2 linked regions of the Caenorhabditis elegans genome follow. The protein of the gene in region 1 purifies or fractionates together with the protein of each later gene. This does not show direct contact. Each region holds a gene or a part of one and is shown in the gene's direction. Other genes may lie near its edges. The genes, in order: mab-10 and F01F1.15.

Region 1 (13,502 bases):
TCACACATCTATGTTCAAGATCTTTTCACTGATTTCTAAAAATCATAAAAATGTTCTCATAAACTTACATTTTGTTAATATAACAGCAATACATAATCCAAATCATTGACACAATAACGTAGAAAAATAGAACAATCCAAAAAATTTGAGAAACTTCATCGAAAAGTAGATCAATTGCAGGTTTATATGATTCCATATTCACATGCTTTTCCGTTACTTCTAAATGCATTTTTCTAGGAATAAGCATCATTTTAAAAGAGTTGATAGTAAGTTTCACAATGAAGGTAAGTGTTTGATAACCCGACGCAAAAATGAGCACAATAAGCTCAAAAAGCAAAGAAAAAGCACATTGCGGTAGAAAAAAACGAGAGAGAGAAAAGACAAACATTTGGGTCATGAGAGGAAGAGGGTGCCATTTTGGATACGAGGTGTCATGTTACTATGTTTTTAACTTTTTATTGCAAGAAATTGGGCAAAAAATGAATTGCATATCAGGGAAGTGCGGTAAACGAGCTTTCCGGCAATATTTCGGAGTGTTTTTTGAGAACAAAAATATATTGTTTTCATTTTATGTAAGCTTGCATCTTTTTTCATGAAGTTTTTAGATACAATTTTGAAATTGATATCGGCAGTTGCTGATGTCGCCAAAAAACGGACTATTGTCGAGGTTGCCGAATGTTAAAATGTTTGGCAACCAATGATCTTTATTTGAATTTTTTTTAAATATCTATTATATGATCAGAAATGGTCAGAATTCTTAATTATGTGGGTAAAAGTGATTTAAAATTAAAATAATAATTTTGTAATCAGTGACTGCTAAAAATTAATAAATTTTACACAAAACTTGGGCAAGATTTGGGAGGGGAGAAGAAATTTCATCAAATATTTAAAATAATCTTGCCTGAACTAGGGCGAATTTTTTTTTGAAACGATCATATTTTGAAATTTTCGAGTTAAAAAAAATAAATAAACATCAGGACAGTATTTCCAACGTCATTCTCTGATCCTTTCGTAGACGTTTCGAAGGCCATGACTTCTCTATGTCTCTTCATCTTTAATAGTATTTTCAGAGAGACCGGTCGGATGACAATTTTCCTATGTATTGTGTCTTTCTCGCACTGTCTAATCACTTAAATGGAGATGAAAAAGAGAAGAAAATGCAAAAAAAAATGAAGGAAGAAGATCGGAAAATTGGTGCGGTCTCTGTTGTTTTTACAACGAATTTCAAATTGGAACATCTGATTAATTAGGGTTTAGAGAAGGATGACCAGAAATGAGATTTCTTTGTTATAGCTTAAAAAATCAAGAATGTATCTCTATTAGGACTGTCAACTTAGACAGTTCATATCTCAGTTGTCGTTTTTTCTATACAAAAATTGTTAACTAATAAAATATTTGTCTCTTCTTTTTCTATCAATTTGTAAAACAAACCGAGATGTAACATTTCAAAGTGAAACACTGGGGTGCTGTAGTACTAGAAGAAATACGGTTCATTTTTTAAACGGGTCTCGCTCATTGAACATTAAACATTTATTTTTTAAAAACCACAACTTTGTGCATTAGAATTGTAAAACTAACCAATATGTTCCACTGAGAGTAGTACTGAGCTAGTCATTCTCATCCCCACTCACACAATAATTACAGTGTGAAACGAGAAAATAGATGAAATAAATGGGCGGTTTGCACTTTTACAAAGACTGTTCATTACAGTTTCATTTGATGGTAATTTACACTGTGTGCACCGAGCCAGCACACCTACGCCGGTGCTCACTGTCTAAGTTATGTCTAAGCAAGCAGCAAAAACACACATCAAAATTCTCGAAGTAGTTTTGAGTTTTTGCTCAAATTCAAATAATATTGTTATGCACGAATTTATTCAGAAAAAATAGAATTACATAATAATCAATAAAAAAAGCTATATCTTTCTTTTTCCTGTTAAGTTCGGACGCATTTCAGTAAACGAGCAAGACTAAATATAAGTTTTTTTTAGAGTTTCATGGCAGCAGAATCGCCAAAAACAGCCGTACCATTCATGACCACTCGGAGAGCAGGGAACTTGAGCTTGATAACTGACATTGAAGAATTTCTTGGCAGACCAAACCACGGATAAGCAATCCTATCTTCTGTCCACGTGCGCTTTGCCAAATAATCACCATAACCATATTATTGATTTTCAGAAGTTTCATAAAAAACTAGAGCACTTTCAAGTGTATATGGGTAATGAAGCACCCCACTAACTGTAAGGCAACGTTGAGGGTTCTCCGTACAATTGAATAGTAGAATTTGATACGTCAGAAGAAGGTAGGTACATAACATGGAAGTTATGCTGTCTGAAAACTAACATTTTGTCTGAAAATGTTTTGATTTTATTTTAAAAAACGTGTTGATACATACCTCAATTCCACCAAATCCTCTTGCATTCTGCCATGCAAACATATCAACATCCCACAAGTTTATGAACTTCTAAATACGAGTTTCCAGAACCAATCTCACGATGAGCCCTCAAAGTTTCTGAAGATAAAACTGTGAAGAAACTCTTAGTTACCAACTTTCCAGAATTTTCAAAATATTTTTTTGTAAAAACTATAACAATCAAATTGTTTACTACTCCAAATACAATAGATTCTGTATATTTTGCAGTGAGATGAAATTAGAAAAATCCTAAAGCATCAGTTCCATTTCGTTTTTTGATCAAACAACACATTATCAAAATCATCAGTCGGAATTTTTTCAGATGGATTAATCCAGAAGTTTCAAGAACCACGCCATCTGCTTACAATTTTGTTCTACGAATCAGTAAAAACCATTTTTCAAAATTTTCATTTTTATGAAAGAAGGTGTTTTCCAGGATTCAATCTTGGCATTACTGTAACGAATTATACTTTTGTTTGAAAACATGTTCAAATTATACTAATGATTTTTAGAATACAAGTATTTCAGCAACCTTTTCGCCGAAAAAACGCTTTTAACAAAATATATTTGGCAACTTTTGATAAAATCCTCTTTTGAAGTTACGAACATTATTGAATTCCACCACACATTTGTTTTGGTGAATTCTGAAAAAAAAATCGAATAAGATGAGTTTCAAAATAATTTTGCGGCCTTACTGTACTCAACAGTACTCATATCAATAACATATACAACATCACATATACAGTCTACAGTACTCATGTAGTACTTCTCCAGTGATTCAGCGGTTTAAAAAAAGTCTCACTATCCCAAACACCAACTTGAATCCCCCTTCTTCAACTGCTCTTCATGCCTTCCACTGCTTCTGATCATATCAATTGCTCTTCCAGAGACCTTTGGGCTCCTTGGGTCGGCACCGGACTGGTACCGCTGCCAGTAACACACAAAAAATGGACGCGGCCGAGGGCAGCAGAAAAAGTGCAGAAAGAGCAAGTAAAGCGAAGAGAGTGTAGACGCACTTTTTGTGCAGCAACACTGCCGTCGCCCCCAGGCAGTGCCAGCCATTTTTTCCCTCATGCGTCCCCCCGTGGTCTGTGGGGGTCACTTGCGCCCCCCCGGGCAATTCTGCCCTGGGTGTCCGCGACCGGTACCACCGCCGCTGAGAAGACGCCGCGCCACTGCTGATATCACTGAATGAGAAATAGTATGGAGAAGATGAGAGATTGCAGAGAGAATATAGAGTGTGGCTGCACTATTCTGGCTCTGTCTGTTCCTCTGTTCCTCTCGATTTCTCAATGCCTTTGCTTTTTTTTCAACGCACGCGTGTTCCCCCCTCCAGTTGACCTATGTTCTCTTAATTTTTTTCCTTTTTTTCTAGCGTTGCATATTATCAGTTATCACCTCCACCTCTATCCAACCACTTTTTTATTATAGACCCCGGCCTCACTGTTCCACAGCCTCCTGACCCGGTCGTGCCCGGACCTTGTGCGGCGCCAGACGCGAATGATATTCGGAGACACGGGCTGAATGGTTTCGTCGGTAGAGAACCACGTCATCCCGTTTTCGTCGTCTGCGGAGTTAGAACTGTATCAGGTAAGGTTTTTAGTTTTTTCTTTTTTTAACTATCAAATTGACTGAAATGAGAAAAGAACGGAAGGCAGGCAGGTCTCAGGCATGCACCAGGATCTGAAAACGCGCCTGCCTTCCACCAAAGCCTTAGTTTTGATTTGTTTGACTAGGAGGTCTAGAGTTCAGAAACTAACTATAAGGCCTCCGTGTCAGGAGTGTGGCAAATTTGACAATGGACTTTTTTAGTATTTGCCGAGCACGGCAAATTTGGCAAAATCAGCTAATCCACATTTTTAAAATTTGTCGGCTCGGCAAATTCGGCAAACGACAAACTCGGCGAATTTGACGCACACCCCTGATGTAGTACTTGCCGAATCGACCGAGCTCGGACAGTTTCCAGAATTGCCGGAGATCACTAGTTTCGTCCGTTGGGAGATACTGTAACTTCTAGATTATTAGTTATGAATGTCACTCTTCACTTTATGTCTATTTTCTCCATTTCTCCCATTTTTTTCTCGAACCTCCCACCTATTCCCCGTTGTGTCCCATCCGCCTGTTCGTCGTCGACCTTCTCTCCCTTCATCGCTTCCCAATTTTTTTTCTGTTCACCTCATACTGCGCGCATCTCCTCCCATGTCTACACTATTTTCATCAATTCATGGACATGTGCAGACAATTTCATGGGGGCTTTTTTTGCTAGAAGAATGAGCGTGCGCGCGCCAGCCTCGAAAAGGACGTTTTCGGAGCGGTTTTTCAGTTGGAAAAAGCGATGGAACGAGGTGAAGAAGAGGTCAAACAGATGGTGGTACTGTTGGATGAGAACAGCTGAATTGGAAGAAGGAGGAGGAGCTTGAGTTTTGATTAGTATGCTCTTATAGCTTCTAGACATCTATTTGTCCAAACAGGAAGAAAACTATCCGCCTAAATATTTTATCATATCGGTAAGAAACACCAAAACTTGAAAGTATTTCTGTTAGTCAGAAGTTAATAGATATAGGAGATAAGCTACCAAAATCTCTCTGAAGTCTGACCCCGATTACTGTAAATTTTGAACTTTCGTATCCCCAGACATCCACTTGTCAACAAAGGTCACTTTTTTGTCCCGTTCCTCCCAAGCCCATCCTGTGTATACACACACACAGTCACCTCAATCGTTCGCATAGTAAACCGAACATTTCAAATAATAATCGAACGACGCCTCTTTGGTTTTTTCATCGGTTCTTTTTCTCTCTAAATCTCCCCCGATTCCCGTACTATTCCCTCCCTCCTATTTCTCCATTCTCACCTCCCGGTCCGTCCCGCGTCCGAACGACCGAAGAAGCCCAGTGGCGAGAGACGTTTTTTGTAGGATTGTCTCTGTGTCTCTATGTTTTAAACGCTTTTTCTCGCCCAATGGTTTGCCGGTTTTTCTATGTTTCTTGTGTCGTCGTTTGCGTCCGGGCGCGCCGCCGAGTTTTTTTGACCTATAGTTAGATGTATGGGTGCACTCTTAGTTTAAGACACTATTTCGTCAGGGATGTAGATAGGCGGACGCTGGGGTTTTTTGAACAGGGATCGGGGGCCATACCACTCTCTTTTCTGTGTCGATATGTTCCCATTTTCTTCTCTTCTTCACTCTATTCTAACCTTTTTTGCAAACCTTTTTTATGACTTCGATAGGGAACCTACAGTGTTGTAAAGCAGTTAATACAGTAGTTCAGCATTTTTCAATTAATTTTCATTCTGGGAAAAATATAAATCAGCTTACAATATTTAATTTCTAGTAGTTTACACGTACCTTCTAATAATTGTTTGATATTTTCTCTTTAAGCATACAATCAGTGTGTTTTCTGTAGTTGATTATAAAAATAATATATACCAACTTGGCTCGGAGGTTTTGGAGGCAGCGTCCTGTAAAACTTTGACAGTTTACAACTTCCTGTCGAACTTTTGCAACTTTCCAACGACATTTTGATGTTAAAAAAATTACCTAGCAACTGCCTATCAACAGCTTTTTTTTATATTTTACCGAGTTGTTGCCGAAAAGTTTCTCCTGAATCTCCTTTGCTTTGAGACAAAAAGTACTAGTTCTGTAGTAGACTCCAGAATCTCATATTCAACAACTCATTTTCAGGATACTGAGGCTATTCGATAGCCGCTGCCCTTCCGTCGATCTGGATTGGGAGCGTACCTCAACTTGTGTGCCTTCAGAAGGCATCATGTCATCATCGTCGTCGTCGTCGTTACCCACATCATCTGCGTCAACAACGACTTCGTCGATCACATCAAGACCATCAGCATGTAAGTCCCGACGATCAGGACATCAGAAAAATTAGTAAAATTCTAGCACATCACTTGGAGTCCATACTTAGCTCGTCTTCATCTTCTCCATCAATTTTATCATCTCTTACAACTCAATCCACTTCATCAATACCCACCTCTTCATCATCATCATCACAACGTCAATCAACCAGCAATGCAGATCGCCCTGTGTAAGTCAATCATTTTTATCGATTTCTGGTGATAAGGGAAAGTATTTATGAAATTTTTTAGTTCTCCCAAACCGATGCCGACACCAACGACTCTATCCGAGTGGCAATTGTTGGCTGTACTGAGCAAAGCGAATTTAGTTCAGTACTATGATGTTTTCATAGCACAAGGTAAGGATTCTTCTTTGTGAATTTTCTATTATAAGGTAAATTTGTTTCAGGTGGCGACGATATCAATCAGATCATGGCATGCGAGGAGAGAGAATTTCTGGAAATTATGAATCTTGTGGGAATGCTTCCGAAGCCTCTTCATGTCCGGCGGATGCAGAGAGCACTTGCTGAGTATAGTCAGGATCAGACTGCATTCAACCTGGCAGCTCTTCAACAAATCGGTCCACCACCACCACTGAACTACACACCTGCGGGTACTGATCCGATGGCTCTTCTGCTACCCGGAATCGCCGCTGCCACGTCGCCGAAATTCCCGAGTCTCCGATTTTTGAGTCAGCTGTCGTCAGTTGCTGAAAAAGTTTCGACACCATCCGAAGCAGCAGACACGTCATCATCGTCTCCGTCACTGAATCTGAACACGACATCGTCGAATTCGGTACCGTTGGGTTAGTCTTTGTCGCTGGGCGTTTGGTAGCACACGCATGTCCATAATGCACAATTTTTGTTTTTAGTTCTTTATTTTAAGTTTTTGAGATATTTGTTATGAAATAGTAAAATAATGGTTCACATTTTTGAGTTTTTTTTTGTTTTTTTCTAAATTGAACTAATTGTACCGCTTCAATTACCAACATGTGTTACAAAGATCGAAATTAAGTTAGCACCGACTCCAAGGCTTCATCAATGCACTATATTCAGCGCGTAGATTAGCATACTCAGTTTGTGTTATACTTGTGCTTATACTGTCCCATTCATGATTTTAAGCGATTTTTGAATATTCCCTCAACTCAACGAATCCCAAAATTTCAGCGTTCAAGTTCTCCACTCCTCTACTCGAGTCTCTGGCCTCTGATCAACAGTCATCATCCACCTCATCTGTTCGAAGCGTGCTCCCCTCAACCAGCTCAAACACATCCCACCCTGAGCTCCCTGCTGGAATCCTCCCCGCCACCACCACCAATGTCTCCGCCGCAGTTCCGCCACCATCATCGAGAGCCACCGCCAACGTATTCTCCGGAAACAGCATTGGCCTCAATTTTAGTGGTGCAGCAAGCGTTACACGCCACCTCGTCGTCCCTCCATCTAGCACATCCATTCAACAACCATCCACTTCATTTGGACGATCATCGTCCATCACCGGCCAAGAAAAAGAGGGGTCGTCCTCTCCTTTTTTAGGTGTTGGTTATTCACAACCATATGGCAATGATTTCGTTTCATTGGGAGATTTTGATCCAAGTTCGTTTTTCTAAAGTTTATGCTCTAGCCGAAAATAATCATAGTAGGACTTGGTAAAAAAAAGTGTCAAAAGACAAAAAAAAATTGTTTTTTTGAAAAGTCTATTAAATGCTACTACAGTAACCTTTTCACTAACCTCAACTCACCGATCTTTCAAAAACCCAAAGCTCAGTTTTCTAAAAAAAATCAATAGTCCTACAGTACTCCTACAGTAACCTACAGTTTTACAAGATTGCCTCGCCCATATCCGTCTCCATAAAAATAACTCAGTTTTTCTGAAACTACAATAATCCTACAGTAATCTTACAGTATAGAAAAGGTGCCATGTCATAGTTTACCTGAAAAGAAACACTGCTGTGAAAGCTTTTATAAAAGAAAAACTTCAATGTTAAAATTAATTTTCCAGATAATCCATCACTAACTGAAAATCCGACTCTATCAACTGCTCAAATATCCCGTCTCGCTGAGTGTGCTCTGGCGGCTTCCAAGAATCTCCCGCCACTTCCGCCGAGGTTGGTGCAGAATAAGAAACGAGTTTCAAAGTGAGTCAGAATGGATTCAGACTATTTTATAATTTTTTGAAATTTCAGAGAAGTCATAGAACTCCTCAAATGCTCTCCAGCAACTCCATCAATGATCCACGCGTTTCGCAAGTATTCTGCAATTTACGGACGTTTTGACACTAAACGGAAGCCCCATAAAGTTTTGACACTTCATGAGACAACTGTAAATGAAGCAGCTGCTCAGCTATGTCTTCTCGTTCCGTCTCTTTTGACACGACGGGATGAGCTGTTTCCGTTGGCTCGACAAATTGTCAAAGATGCTGGATATAACTATGCAAAAAGTAGAAAACGACCATGTGATCCAGCTGATTTGCATAGTCCGATAAGCTCGCCGGGCAACTCTCCGCCCCCTCAAGAATCGGAATTCGATGAACAACCGTCCAGTTCTTCAGGTGCTTTTAAGGAGGAAGAAAGGGTAGGCACATTTAAATTGTTCGTTACTTTTAATGCAAAAATACCGTACCTGGTCTCGACACGAATTAAAAATGAAAAAATTTAAATCAAAAATGCTGTGCGCCTTTAAAGAGTACGTACAGTAGTCTTCCCACCTTGCAGCTTTTCAATTTTCTTCGATTTTTTCCCGTTTTTTCATTTTTGTGAACGATATGCAAAATGTAGTAAAAGAGAAAAAATGTGAAAAAGTAGCAATACAACACGGTTACTGTAATTTTAAAGACGCATACCCTTTTTTCTTCAAATTATTTCAGTCATGTCGAGACCAAAAACCATAAAACTTTGCATTTGAACAATAACATTTTTTGATTATCGATTTTTTTCAGCCACCAATTCCACCGGAAGCATGGGCGGCGATAATCGAAAAAATGAAGGGTGAGCTCCCGGAATCTTGAAGCTCGGATTTCCATATTTTTTGTTTTCCTCGTGATCTTTGCAACACCTCCCGCTGGTCGGTTTCCTGTGATTCTCATTAGTTTTCGAAAATTCTCTCATTCTAAACACGCTCTATTGTACCCCACAAGGCGGGAATTTGAATTTAAATTTAAATTCCCGCCCCCTTCGCTCGGAGTCATATAATTTCCTTCTCTTCCTATCACTTTTTTGTCTAGTTTTCAAAAAACCCCCCATTTTTCCGGCGGTTTTTCAAAAACCAATGCCAAGCTCTCATATAATGGGAGTCTAAACACAGTTCGGTTCCAAAACCAACGCCCACGGCCCCGCCCCCAATTAGATAATTTAAATATAATTTTTTTTTCCATTTTCCAATTTTTTAAAAATATTTAATATGTTTGTCTTGCTCTATTGAGAAAGAAATTTGAATTCAAAACTGAAAAACTTCAATTTCGCATCCAATGCATTGCAAGTTGATTGCTTTTATAAATTTTTGGGTCTCGAAGCGAAAAGCCCATAGGATTTTCACAAAAATTTTGCATTTAATGCAGTGAAAATTCAAAAAATTCAAAGATTTTTCTGAATAGATCAAATTTTCAAATTTTCCGGTCATTCGAAATGGCCTAATTTGCTCCAAAAATTTGAATAATCCCGTCATTTTTTCTTTGAATAGTAAAAAAAAGATTTTCTAAAAATTGCCTAAATGTTTGCCACACTTTCAGTCCATTTTATTCACAGATTTTTACAACTCTACTAGTCTCCTCCACCCATCACCACTTTCTCCCCAAAAATGTTTACATGGTTCTTATGCACTTGAATTGTAACTATTTTTTCTAATAAAGAAAAGTTTATAACAAATAAATTAAAGAATTCAAAGAGAACAGGAAATATATAATTGAGAAGTTCAGGGGATTTAAATCTCACTAACGACTGGAAACAAAAAGTAGATGGGGAGATGGACGACAAGTAAATCGGAAGACATGATTCCCGTAACAATAGTTTTGCTTTAATATATTAAAAAAATCAAGTAAATTCTACTTTGTCTTTTTATCTTCTTTTGCATGCTCTGAATTTGGTTCTGATTCATGCTCGGGCTCCTGGGAAGGTTCAGAAGATCCTTCTACGGCCGGCGTCGGCGCCGGTGCTCCAGTTTCCTTCTCGAGGCTTGTGCCGAACTCGTTCAGTCGAGTTGGATCAATGCGATACGCCCAGCGTTGGTAGAGGTAGATCTGGAAATTTTAATATTATTTTTTAATTAAAGTTATTTTGGTATTATGGGGACGCAGAAAAATGAGATTTTTGAAATCGATGTGCACGCGCGCTCCACAGCAATAGATTAGTTGGTAATTTGGCAGCAAATCCGTGAATTCAAACGTTTTCAATTAGTTTCACCGATTTTCAAGAATTTTTCGTTCTTTTTGGCGAAATTGTGGTTTTGAAATAAAATTCCAAACGAGACCCAATACTTTGGGGAGGAGCGTTTTTAAAAGTGCAATTTTCTGCGTCCTCATAATCTATTCGACATTTTCTCACCAGGAAAATGATATCATCTCTGAAGCAACCAATTCTGTAGAGCAACGGCATCCGGATCACAAACGCGAACAAATCATCAATAAACGTATTGATGAATTTGTAAGTGAGCATACGCCACGGCAGATGAGCCACTGATTTGAGCTTGTAGTTAATGAACAGCTGAGGTGTCATGGTAATGAATCCGAACGTGAGCAAGAATCCATAGAGCATATTGAGTACCCAGGAGTACCATCCTTTTTGCTCAACGTAGATTACAGAATAGATGGCATATCCGACAAGAAGTGGGAAAAGTGCCCATCCGAGGTATTTGAATGCCATTTGATCGTAGATCTTCGTCTCACTCTCTACATATGATCCTTTATCACTGATAACCAAACGTGGAATCACTCCGAACCATTTGTTCTGCCAGTCGATGGATACATTCATCACCTTCGGAATCTTCCAGCATTCAATGAGCAAACCAATTCCAACTGTAACTTTCACCATTGTATTTGTCTCATTATCACAAATATAAAGGAAAACAATCAGTGATTGGAAGATGTTGAAAAGCACAGATCGAACTGATAATCCGACGAGATCTTTTCGATTATTCCAAAATTGAATGTCATTCTTGAAAGCCAAAAACTCGAATACGGTATGTAGAAGTGAAACAATCATAGTAACTGCCAAAAGGATTGGATTAGTCTCTAGAAGTGCTTGTTTCATAGAATCATGGCCATCATCATCCATATCTGCACCATCCATAGATAACATTGATTGCCATTGAGACTGCATCCGCTGACTTGCGTACATTTGATATTTGAACACTGACATTGGATAGTAGGTAATTGTCAAGTTAAGATCTTTGACAGTTTCATTGATCGGTTGATAATCTGCTCCGAGATTCCACCAATTGTTATAGAATAAAATAGGCTTGTAGATGGTTCCGTCTTCATTAAATTCAATATCTTCACTAAGTGGTGGTGGAATTTGGCCACGAGCCCATGGAGTTTGATCAACGACTAAAGAGATTGAGATGTTTGGATGCCAGTGATTGAGAACCTGCAAAAATTGACAATAATTCCAAAATTTTCGATATTTGTTTAGATTTTTCACCTCATATTTCATAATCTGAGCTTTGGCAAGATCCTCATCACTCTGCTCACTCTCACCAGTCAACAAGTTTGAAGTTTTTCGATAATACTTCTTCTTGTACTTGTTCAGCTGATATGATTTATAGATGATCTGAAATATATATTTTTGAAATTTATTTTAATCTTGAACTAATCTTCTTTTTCTTCTTGATAATGTTGGTTTTTAAATTTTTCACAAAAAAAATTGTGTTTTTAGATTTTCCAAAGAATCGAAAATTGGTTTTTTTTTTCGAATTTTCGATATTCTAAAAAAAATTTAAAAATTTCAATAATTTCCGGTAATTTCTCTACTTTCCAAACATTTTTTTCCAAAAAATTCCCAAAACAAACAGAGACTGTTTGAGTTAAAAATTCCAAATTTTCAATAATTTCTATGTTTAAAAAAAATTATTTTTTCACATAAAATTCAACATATTTTTGAAAAATCTATAGAATCCTCGTGTCGGGTTTTCAAAACAATCGGAAAATCCAAAAATTTCAATGTTTTTTTTGTATTTTTTCGAATTTTCGTTTTTTGAGAAAAAAAACAATTTTTTCAAAAATTTCCGGCTAGTTTTTCTTTTTTTTTAACTGAAAGTCTACCTACATATTTTCCACAAAAAAAGTTTACAGTTTTTTTTATGTTTAATTTTTTTTAATATTTAATGATTTTTTCGGTTTCCAGTTTTTGGAAACGAATTCAAAAATTAATTGTTATATTTTTTACATAAAAATTAGCATATTTTTGATAAATCTATACAATTCTCGTACAATTTTTTTAATTAATCTAAATAATTTTTTTTTTCCAAATTTTCCAGTTTTATGTTGAATTTTTAAATTTTAGATTTAAAAAAATGAAAAATTTTAGTTTTTTTACCTGATTCTTGAAATAATTCCGATCCTTGGGATTCGGTGATTGGCCAGCTTTAACGATGAACGTGTGAAGCCAGAGGGAATCATTACGGAGCAATGCAGCAGGAGTTGGGAAGTTTTTGTGAATTGTGTGACTGCCGTCCTAGAAAATACGAAGTTAAATTAATTAAATCTAGAGAATTATCAAACTTCATTATCACCACTAATCCAATCATCATACTTCATTCCATTTCGCATCCAAATCAACTTTTCTGGTGCTGAATCGAATTGTCTGAATGGGAGATCCTGAAATTGTTGGAAATTCCGATATTTTCAACTTTTTCTCCAAGTCAACTAACACTATCATCCATGTAAACGTATAAATCAAAAATCTGATGATTTGGGAACATATTCATCGCTTTATTTCCATTTCCAGCAGTAGATGCTGTCACATTTCCATCATTTCCAGGCGACGACGATGGCCGGAAGAATCCCTTCAATTTTTTTGAATTCATTTTTCAAATTAAGATGTCCAGATCAACTTACAGAAACCATGGAAACTACGAAATAAATGGTGATTGCTTGCTTGATCATTCCCCAAATTCCGCCACCTTGCTGTGGTTCCGGAGCTGCTTCGGGAGCAGCTGCTGGTGCAACTGCGTCGGCCATTCTGTGAAGATTATGAGAGTGGTTAGAAAGTGGAAAAGTTGCAAAAGCAAAAAGTGGTGAAAATAAATTGAAAAGAT
Region 2 (8,564 bases), on another chromosome or scaffold:
AAGTTGTTTCCTATTTGACAGTTTTCATATTTCCTGATATATAATAAGACTTCTCAGTAATTTAAGTTTTTCTAACAAGTTTTCAAAAAATTGTGGGAACTGGTTGAATACTTACAGATACTGTATACTAAAATTTTTAGCTCGTGTCAGGACCCAAAAAACTAATTTTTTCTACTAAAAATTGTACAAAATAACCGGGTCAAATCGAAAGACGAATGGCTCGAGCTGAATGACGCAAGAGATTTGAAAATGAGGTGAAAAGTGTCACCAGAGACAATTGGGTGCTTCATGCTCAACTTTCAAGATTTTTTATCTCTTTCGAAAATGCATGATGGCAAAGTTCAGAAGGCAGAGCAAGCAGCATCACACACTCAAAAAATGAAAAACAGAGGAAAAGTGACGGCTGTTTCGAATTACACAACACATGTGGCGAACAGAGAGCTCTGGAGAGCATAGAAGAGGCTCAAAACACATGAACATAGCAATATAATAGACAATTAAAATATTGGAATTTTCATGAATTATATACATATGTATTTTTCAGATGGGTCTCGGCGCGCAAAAGTTTATGGTAGACTTTTTAGAATTTTCACGTCTGCTTTTTTGTTCATTTGCCTTGCGTTTTTCAATGATATTAATTGTTTTTTAGCGAATCATGTCATATTCTTTTCATTTTTCTATCCTAGAGTTTGTAAATATGTTGTTTTATAAAAACACCAACGCTGTTTTCGGTTCATGCATACTTGCATAGGACAAAAATTGCTTGATTGTTTATAAACATAATTATTTTTATTAGCTTTCTCGTGTGGAAATGTGAAACTTCAAGAAAATTCTATTTTGCGGCTGGAAAGGGAGGAAAATTTTTGTGCGGCAAATTAAATTCAAATTTAGCGCGCAAAAAGGTGTTGGACTTTTCTCGGCCGTGCACTCCTCTCGGACAACGTTTCTCTGGTCTCTCTCGGTTTGTCTCTATTCTCTATTTTCCTTTTATTATTTTTTTTCAAGAAATTTACCACAAAAATATGAATAACTCAAATAGAAGTAAGTTTAAAAATAATAATTTTATTCAAAAATTAAAAAATGTTCTTTATAGTAATTCCGTTTGCTTTCAAAAGCTCTGAACACGGCTCATACGAAGATGAGATGATGGAAATGGAAGACGTAGTCGATGTAGAGGACTATATGGGCGGAGAAAAATATGATTCTTATAATGATGCAAAAGAAGATATTAAAGATTTTAAGACGACTCAAAGAATGAAAAAAATCCATCGAATGGGTAAAAAAATTATCAATAAAATATTAAAAGTTCAATTATTGTTTCAGAAAAAATTGAGCAAAACATTGCCTCAGAGAAAATCGATATAATCGAGCTTGGAACACGTGTGATGGTGTCGACATCGGATAAAACGCTCAATGAAGCTTCATTGGAGAGAACCATCCGTTGCGGAATATCTGAAGCCACATTTCTCGGAGATATTTCTATGGAATCGCTGGTAGAAGGTATGGTGAATCCATCGGCGGCTGATGGAAGGTTTGCAATGCTTGGAACGTCTATTATGGTCAGAATTCTGATAGCCCGGAATTCAAAATTCCATTTTTTGATTTTTCAGCTAAATGCGCTAAAGTCAAACATTAAAGACCTGAGAGGAACAATTGTAGGACAGACGACCAACACAAATTCAGAGTCAAAATTCGATAAAATCGATTTAAGTCTAATGAATCTCTCGCATTGCCAACAAACTTCTTACAATATTCGAGCAACAGGTGTATTCTCTGTGAGTTTTTTTTTGTTTCAGCTTCTATGAAAAAATGCCAAATTTTAGAATGCCGATCTTCAATATGTGTTCAGTTTGCTGACGTTCCGCAGAAACGCAAAACTTCTCAACAAAACCAAGCAGTTTATAAAAGCATATTTTTGTGTTGCGTGCCGTCCGAGATGCATGATCTGGAGATATACTTTAAGAAGAGCTGGAAATAGTCAAAGAAGAGCCATTCTTAACTTACCATCCGCCATTGTTTCAACTATTACTCGTAAGTTTTAAATAAAAAAAGAGAATCCATGGGCTTTTTCCAATATTTGGAAACAATTTTCGTTTTTTCAAAAAATAGTTTTAAATGTTGACCTTTTTTCCTTTTTAGATGGCAATTATATGTTTTTCCTTAATAATATTGATTGATAACAGTATAAGCCTAATTTGATTTAAACAAAACATTTTTTTGTTGTAAAATTGCTAAACTTTTTTTTTGATTTTCTCAGAAAAAAAATCCATAAAAAATTTCAATGATACCCTTGCCAATAATCAATTTTTATTGTTTTTTCCAGAGTTTCTGCTCGATTTGACAGGAATTAGCGATGCAAACATCCCATACGATCAGCTCGATCCAATGACACCACTATCAATTTCACTTGGAGAAGATGAATCAATGCGTGTTCAACGATATGAAGAAGCTTGTCGATTGAAGGATCCATTGACGAGATTCTTTCGAGATGCAATTACAGATTGCTTGTAAGTGCCTGAATCCTTGAAAATACATTGAATTAAATTTCAGAAATGAGCTCCGAGAGATGCCGTTTTGCCTGAACACGGGCATTCTGTTGAGCCCGTTGCGTGGTCGAGAACAAGGAACTTCTTGTGTTACATGGAAAGATTATGAAGGATTTTTGAAAAGAGAACACGATCTGCCTTCCGAAGCGAATATGAAGAAGCGAACGCAGTTTGAGTAAGTTTAAAAAATAATTTCGATTTTAAAATCCTTAAAATTTGCATTCAGTTATAAGTGTAATTTTTTTTTGGAAAAAGCGTAAAATTTGAAAATCAATTATATTTTCAGTTACCGACAGGATAACAGAATTTTTCTCTATTTTCGCTCCCTTTTTTTCGAAAAATACCAAAAATAAAATTTCATTGCTGCTCGCTGTTGCGGAGCGTTCTTTAGTTTTTCACTACAGTACTACTTTTGAAAAAATTGTACGTGACGAGGCCGGGTAACATATCTTTGAGACGAGATTTCAGAGTTCATATCTGAATAGTATTAAAATTAAATTTCCAGACAACGGCTCTGCGACATTATTCCACGTGTACGTCGACCGGTTCCCAATTGAAAAAATGTTTAACTTATCAATTTTCGATCTCTTGAATACGTTGTTTCCAATCAACTTTAATGAATAATATTCATGTTTTATTCGTGAAGAAAAGTACCATTTACACAAACACTGGATACCTATCCAAACACCGTTCTTTTTCTTTTCTTTCTGCCACTCTCCCAATCATTGTTTGCTCTCTCTCTCTCTCCGCTTCACTTGGTCATTATCGACGCTTTTTAACCATTTATTCAGAATGCATTTTGTTTCTACACTGGTTTGTCTCATATCACTGTCGGGTATTCAATCTGCATCGGTTTCTTCATTAGAGTGTGGAGGTTGATAGATTTTTCTAAAATATATTTTTAAATATTGAAAATTTCAGCCTGCTCCCTCCTCGTAACCCATTTCGAGCTGAAAATCGCCGCAGTCGACCCGAAAAAGAAAATCGAAGTTGGAAGTTTCCGAGTTTCACCAACTGGAGATCAAAAAGGGCTCAAGGAAATCGGCTATGCTCGTTCAGAATCTCATTTGACAGAAATCATTGAGCACGCTTGTGATGATGCGAAACACTATAAACTTGTGGTAAGAACCATAAATTGTATAGATTTTTACAAATTTCTCTTCAGGTGAATACAATTACTGGAAAATCAGTCTACGTTCACAACGACGCCACACATTTGAAAGGAGATGAGTCTCCCAAAATGAGATATAATCTTCAAAACGCTGTAAGTTCAAGCACGGGATTCCAAACTCTAGTTATTATTAGAAAACAATCCCTAATGAGAATTAAGAACTTTTTCAGTTTTTTGCAGAAAACTTCAGTCTTGATTTTTTAATTTAAATTTCTAAATTTTAGTGCAACGACTTCATTGACTCTCACGAAGATGAGCTTCTTGGTTTCCTGAAGACCGCCCATCAGGATCCCGTCAAACAGTTCTGCCAAGGAGAAATGGGTGCTTGCACTGCTGTCGATGTGGCACCTCTACCTGCTGCTCCAGAAGAACCAATGGATCTTTCTGATATTCCAGATGATGAAATTGACAGAAAAGAACTTTAAATTAAATTTTCCTTTTTTAAATTAGTAATTTATGAATTTCAACTCGTTTGCGGGATCTGGAAATTGTGCTATATCGTTATCTGTTTGAATTTTAATTTATATGTGATTTGTTTTGTGATATAAACTTCAAGTTTTTCCTTTCGTGAAATGCTAAGGGTAAAGTTGAAATCAATTGAAATATCGCAGAGCCTCTTGATCTTGACTTACAATTCTATTTATAATTAGATGACGATTTCTCCAATTGACACACTCGAAGAGCTCTGGAGTTGGAAATCACGAGAAGATGTTGGCGAGCAATACAGTGAGCAACTGGTTAACTTTAAGTAATTTTTATGAAATTTCAGAAAGAAAATTAATTTTCTACCTGGCAATAAGAATAGTGTTAAATATTTTTAGCCCGAATGCGAAAAAAATGGTTTTGGCGCGAGCCAATTTTTTCAGCTACAGTACCCAGTAGTATGGTAGACTTACATAATATTTGGTTTTTACTTAGTTTTAAACTTTTTTTGATAACTTTATTGATAAACAATAGTCACAGTCACAGTCACAGGACAAAAGCTTCGATCGTGCTGAGACCTAAAATCATGGATTTTCCCTACTATATGGCAAAATTTCAGACCACATTCGGGTCGTCAAATCCTCGTATGCCACGATATGCGTGGTGGATATTTGGAAGAGGAGTCTACGGAAGGAAAGAAATTCGAAAAAGACCGGTACCCGTACATGTTCTTGAATTGGTGGCAAATCGACATTTTCAACTACTTTTCACATCATTTTGTGACGATTCCACCGGAAGATTATACACGAATTGCTCATAAACATGGTATAAAATATTAAATCTAAAAATCGAAATAACACAAAACATGCCCGTCCATTTCTTGGTTTTTAAGTCAAAGTATCCCAATTTCAGGTGTTCTTTCACTTGGAACATTCATCACGGAATGGATTCCAGGATACGATATTTGTTCGAAAATCTTGGAAAATGAGGGTTCGGTAGAAAAAACAGTGGACTGTCTGGTGGCTGTTGCGAGATTTTTTGGATTTGATGGATGGTTGATTAATATTGAAAATAAAATTGATGCAGGAAAAATCGATTTGTTGATTCAATTTTGTTCGAGTTTAACTGAAAAGTCAAAGAAAATGAATGAAAATTCGAAAGTGATATGGTATGATTCGGTACTTGATAATGGAAAGTTGCATTGGCAAAATGAATTGAATGAGATGAATCGGTTAGAATATTAGAACTGTACTGAAATATTAATATTTTTAAGAAAATTCTACGATGCTTGTGACGCCATCTATCTCAACTACAACTGGAAAGATAAAGAACTTCTTCGATCGGCTGAATTTGGAGTTCTTGATCGGATCTTTGTTGGAATTGATGTATGGGCTCGTGGTTGTGTTGGAGAATTTCATTGTGATCAGTCATTTGCATTGGCAAAACTTTTTCACATGTCAGTTGCTCTTTTTGCACCCGGATGGATTTATGAAAAGTTTCCTGAGGAAAATCAAATTTGCAAAGGAATTCAGTAAGGTTTTTTGAAAATAAAATTGAAAAATCAGAAAAAAAAGACTACAGTACCCCGATAAAAATATAAATTTATAAAAAACATAATTTTTGAAATTTAATTTATTTCCAACTAGAAAATTCTACATTAGGATTTTTTTCAGAAAAATTCCACAATTTAAGTTTTATTGAAATTTTAATTTAATTCCAGCTTCTGGTCCAAACTTCTTCCACACATCCGAACTCGTCCTCTAACTTCTATAAACTTTGGCACCAACTTCTGTACTGGAATGGATCAAAATTGGCACTACCGCCTGAGCACAGTGCAGCTTCAGCCTCAAATTTTAAGCTCCTTCTGCCACCAAGTAATTGACTCTACAGGACTCACTCTTTTTGGCAGAAATCGAAAATTTCTGTAAGTTATGAACATACAAAAATTTACTCATTATAATTTTTTCCAGACTATTCACTTTCGATTCTGTCAACTACAGTACCCTGACCATAACTTGCACTACTTCCAATTCAATTGACCTGCTTCTGAATAGATCTGAAATTATGGACAAAACCGGAGATTCCACGTGGCATATTGACAAGCCAGGAAATTTGGAATCCATCAGCATCTTGACATCAAGCAACGACGAAACTGTGATCGAAAACTTTTCCATTGATTCTAATTAAATAATTCTAATTTCATAAAAGTCAATAAAACAAATTTTAATGCACAATTTTAGATCAATTTCTGGTATATATGTACGTATATAGAATAGATTAAGCATTGTACAAGAATTAAAAGACTAGACATTCTAGCACACGGATGATGCACATATAAAATCGGGAAAAGGTGGCGAAAGTGAAATTGGAAGGGCGAGTTGTGGATAATCAGCGACAGAATAAGCATTCCAGATGAATTATTACTTATCCTGCGTTGCAAAGAATGGTTTTGTATCCCGATTGAGCAGTGTGTGACATACTTTGCACACATTGGCTGGTCGATGATTTGGTCCACTTGGAACGGTGTCTTTCAGGCAGTTCATGCAGAATATCCGACCACAATGAAGACAGCTAAAAGATTTGAAAAATAAAAGTGACTGAAATATTCCATGAAAAAGTAAAATAGTGCTATCTCTTATTTTTCGCACTTTTTTAAAAATTTTTCCTTATAAAAATCTGCTATTTCTGGAAAACTATGCGTGATTTTTTATTTTTCGAAGCCTTTTTTTAAAAATATTTTAGGTCGTTTTAAGAAAGGGTACCGAACGCTTGATTCATAATCACTATATATTTTTTTTCTTTTTAAAATCTTCTGTTTGACATATTTTAATTGGAAAAGTGTAAAATTTATTTTTGAAAATGAAGAAAATAATTTTCTTGTAATTTTTTATCAGAAATTCAAACTTCCATTTTCAAAAACTTACTGAGGTTTAACTTTAACTCTAGCAAACGATGTATCACAATTTGAGCATTGATCTACATCATCATCCCATTGCCATCGTACTTCTTGTTCCGACTGTCGAATCTTCTCCAATTGAATTTGGAGGCTTTGAGATAATTTCACAAAATCTCTCTGCACAACTTCAGATGTGTCGAGTTCTTGTTGAAGACTTGTGCACCGTTGCTTGTAGTTCTGTGCCGTCTGTTCAACAGCGGCTCTCTCATTTTGAACCTGCTGAACCTGCGTCTCAAGTTCACCGACAGTTGTTTGAAGATCTCTAATTTGTCTGATATTCGAATCTTGATCTGCAATTGTTTCCGATGCAACAACCATTCGAGTGTTGATCTTTCCTAATTCCGACTGCAATCTGCTGATCTCTGCAGTAAATGTCACTTCCTGATCTTCTCTGTGCGCTCTTTCTTCTAGAATCTGAGCTCGCAGGACGGTGATCTCATCCTGCAGCTGCTGCTCGGTGTGCTCTTTTGCAGCTCGAGTTTCTATCAATTCTTCCCTATTCTTGAGACAAATAAATTGTAATTGATCAAGATCAGCTGGCATATCGATTTTCTCGGACCGAAGTTCTTGTGCTGATTTTCGTGTGGACCCGAGAAGCTTTTTGTACTTTTTTCCTAATGTAACAAAGTCATCGTCGGCTTGTTGCAGTTTGTCACGAGCCAAATTCAATTGATCAGTGAATACTTCTATCGATTTGTCGTGCTGAAATTAAGCTTTTTTAAAAGTTATTCTTTTTATTTATTTAAAATACCTTCGCACTGAGCTCGTCCAGCCGCTGCTCCGACTTGGCATTTGCCTTTGCCGCCTCGTTAACCTGATTCAAACAATTAGTCGATAATTCGTTCATTTTCTTTTCCAATTCTTTTCGATAGTCTCGTTCATTGCTCAAATCCAATTGATATCTTTCGTTCAACTCCATTGCCGCCTTCACTTCTTCCTTTAACTTTCGTTCGTTTTCCTGCAAAACAAACAAAAATCATTTGCATATTTGCCGTGTTCCCATGATTCTCACCTGTAATGCAGTCAAATTCACTTCATAATTCTGGCACATTTCGCATTGAAGCGTTGGATTCGGTGAGACTTGCGAAATCTTTTTGGACGGTATTGGCGGCTCCTGAAATTTAAGGGTCTTTGAATTATCGATTAAAATGCAACACTCTTACCTCTGCATTCACTCCGGCAGACACTTCTTCGCTAGCCGACGGTTCTGTCATTTTTCTAGAAAATTCTTGATTTATTCGAAAAATATATGAGTCATTTGATTAATTAAATAAAAAAGGTCTCATCACAATGTTGGCAAGGACTAGGTTGAAAACCTAGGCCATTTGGTGACACATTTAAAGAGCATTAAACATAATAATCGAGCAGTTTTAGTATTAATTTCATTAAACGACTTCCAAGAGAAAAGTAAATGTTTTCTGGAGTGAAATAAACATATTTCATTCTGTTGAGTTATGAAAATGTTATT

What was found.
Region 2: the proteins of mab-10 (region 1) and F01F1.15 fractionate together in Caenorhabditis elegans (co-fractionation; one large-scale study listed by BioGRID). This does not show direct contact.

What each region holds. Positions count from the first base shown.
Region 1 is NC_003280.10:10,524,246-10,537,747, forward strand, and holds mab-10 (NAB transcription cofactor mab-10), read left to right. Parts: upstream 1-3,838; 5' UTR 3,839-4,002; intron 4,003-5,127; exon of another isoform or gene 5,128-5,553; intron 5,554-6,091; 5' UTR 6,092-6,176; coding exon 6,177-6,258; intron 6,259-6,304; coding exon 6,305-6,449; intron 6,450-6,510; coding exon 6,511-6,617; intron 6,618-6,667; coding exon 6,668-7,063; intron 7,064-7,424; coding exon 7,425-7,850; intron 7,851-8,256; coding exon 8,257-8,392; intron 8,393-8,440; coding exon 8,441-8,828; intron 8,829-9,192; coding exon 9,193-9,261; 3' UTR 9,262-10,135; downstream 10,136-13,502. Other genes in the region: F59B10.6 (uncharacterized protein), read right to left, coding at 69-229; R166.2 (Cleft lip and palate transmembrane protein 1 homolog), read right to left, coding at 10,294-10,488, 10,793-11,833, 11,888-12,016, 12,782-12,919, 12,967-13,062, 13,116-13,250, 13,303-13,425. UniProt on the Caenorhabditis elegans protein: Transcriptional cofactor. Heterochronic protein, involved in timing of a subset of differentiation events during the larval-to-adult transition.
Region 2 is NC_003281.10:5,864,303-5,872,866, reverse strand, and holds F01F1.15 (DUF3456 domain-containing protein), read left to right. Parts: upstream 1-3,337; 5' UTR 3,338-3,338; coding exon 3,339-3,420; intron 3,421-3,467; coding exon 3,468-3,667; intron 3,668-3,711; coding exon 3,712-3,810; intron 3,811-3,941; coding exon 3,942-4,142; 3' UTR 4,143-4,277; downstream 4,278-8,564. Other genes in the region: F01F1.11 (PAP-associated domain-containing protein), read left to right, coding at 1,023-1,041, 1,094-1,276, 1,324-1,559, 1,611-1,775, 1,824-2,031, 2,324-2,507, 2,551-2,721, 3,052-3,103; eng-1 (mannosyl-glycoprotein endo-beta-N-acetylglucosaminidase), read left to right, coding at 4,368-4,465, 4,760-4,965, 5,053-5,371, 5,414-5,671, 5,861-6,064, 6,111-6,327; rabn-5 (FYVE-type domain-containing protein), read right to left, coding at 6,561-6,711, 7,065-7,798, 7,848-8,054, 8,109-8,210, 8,260-8,310.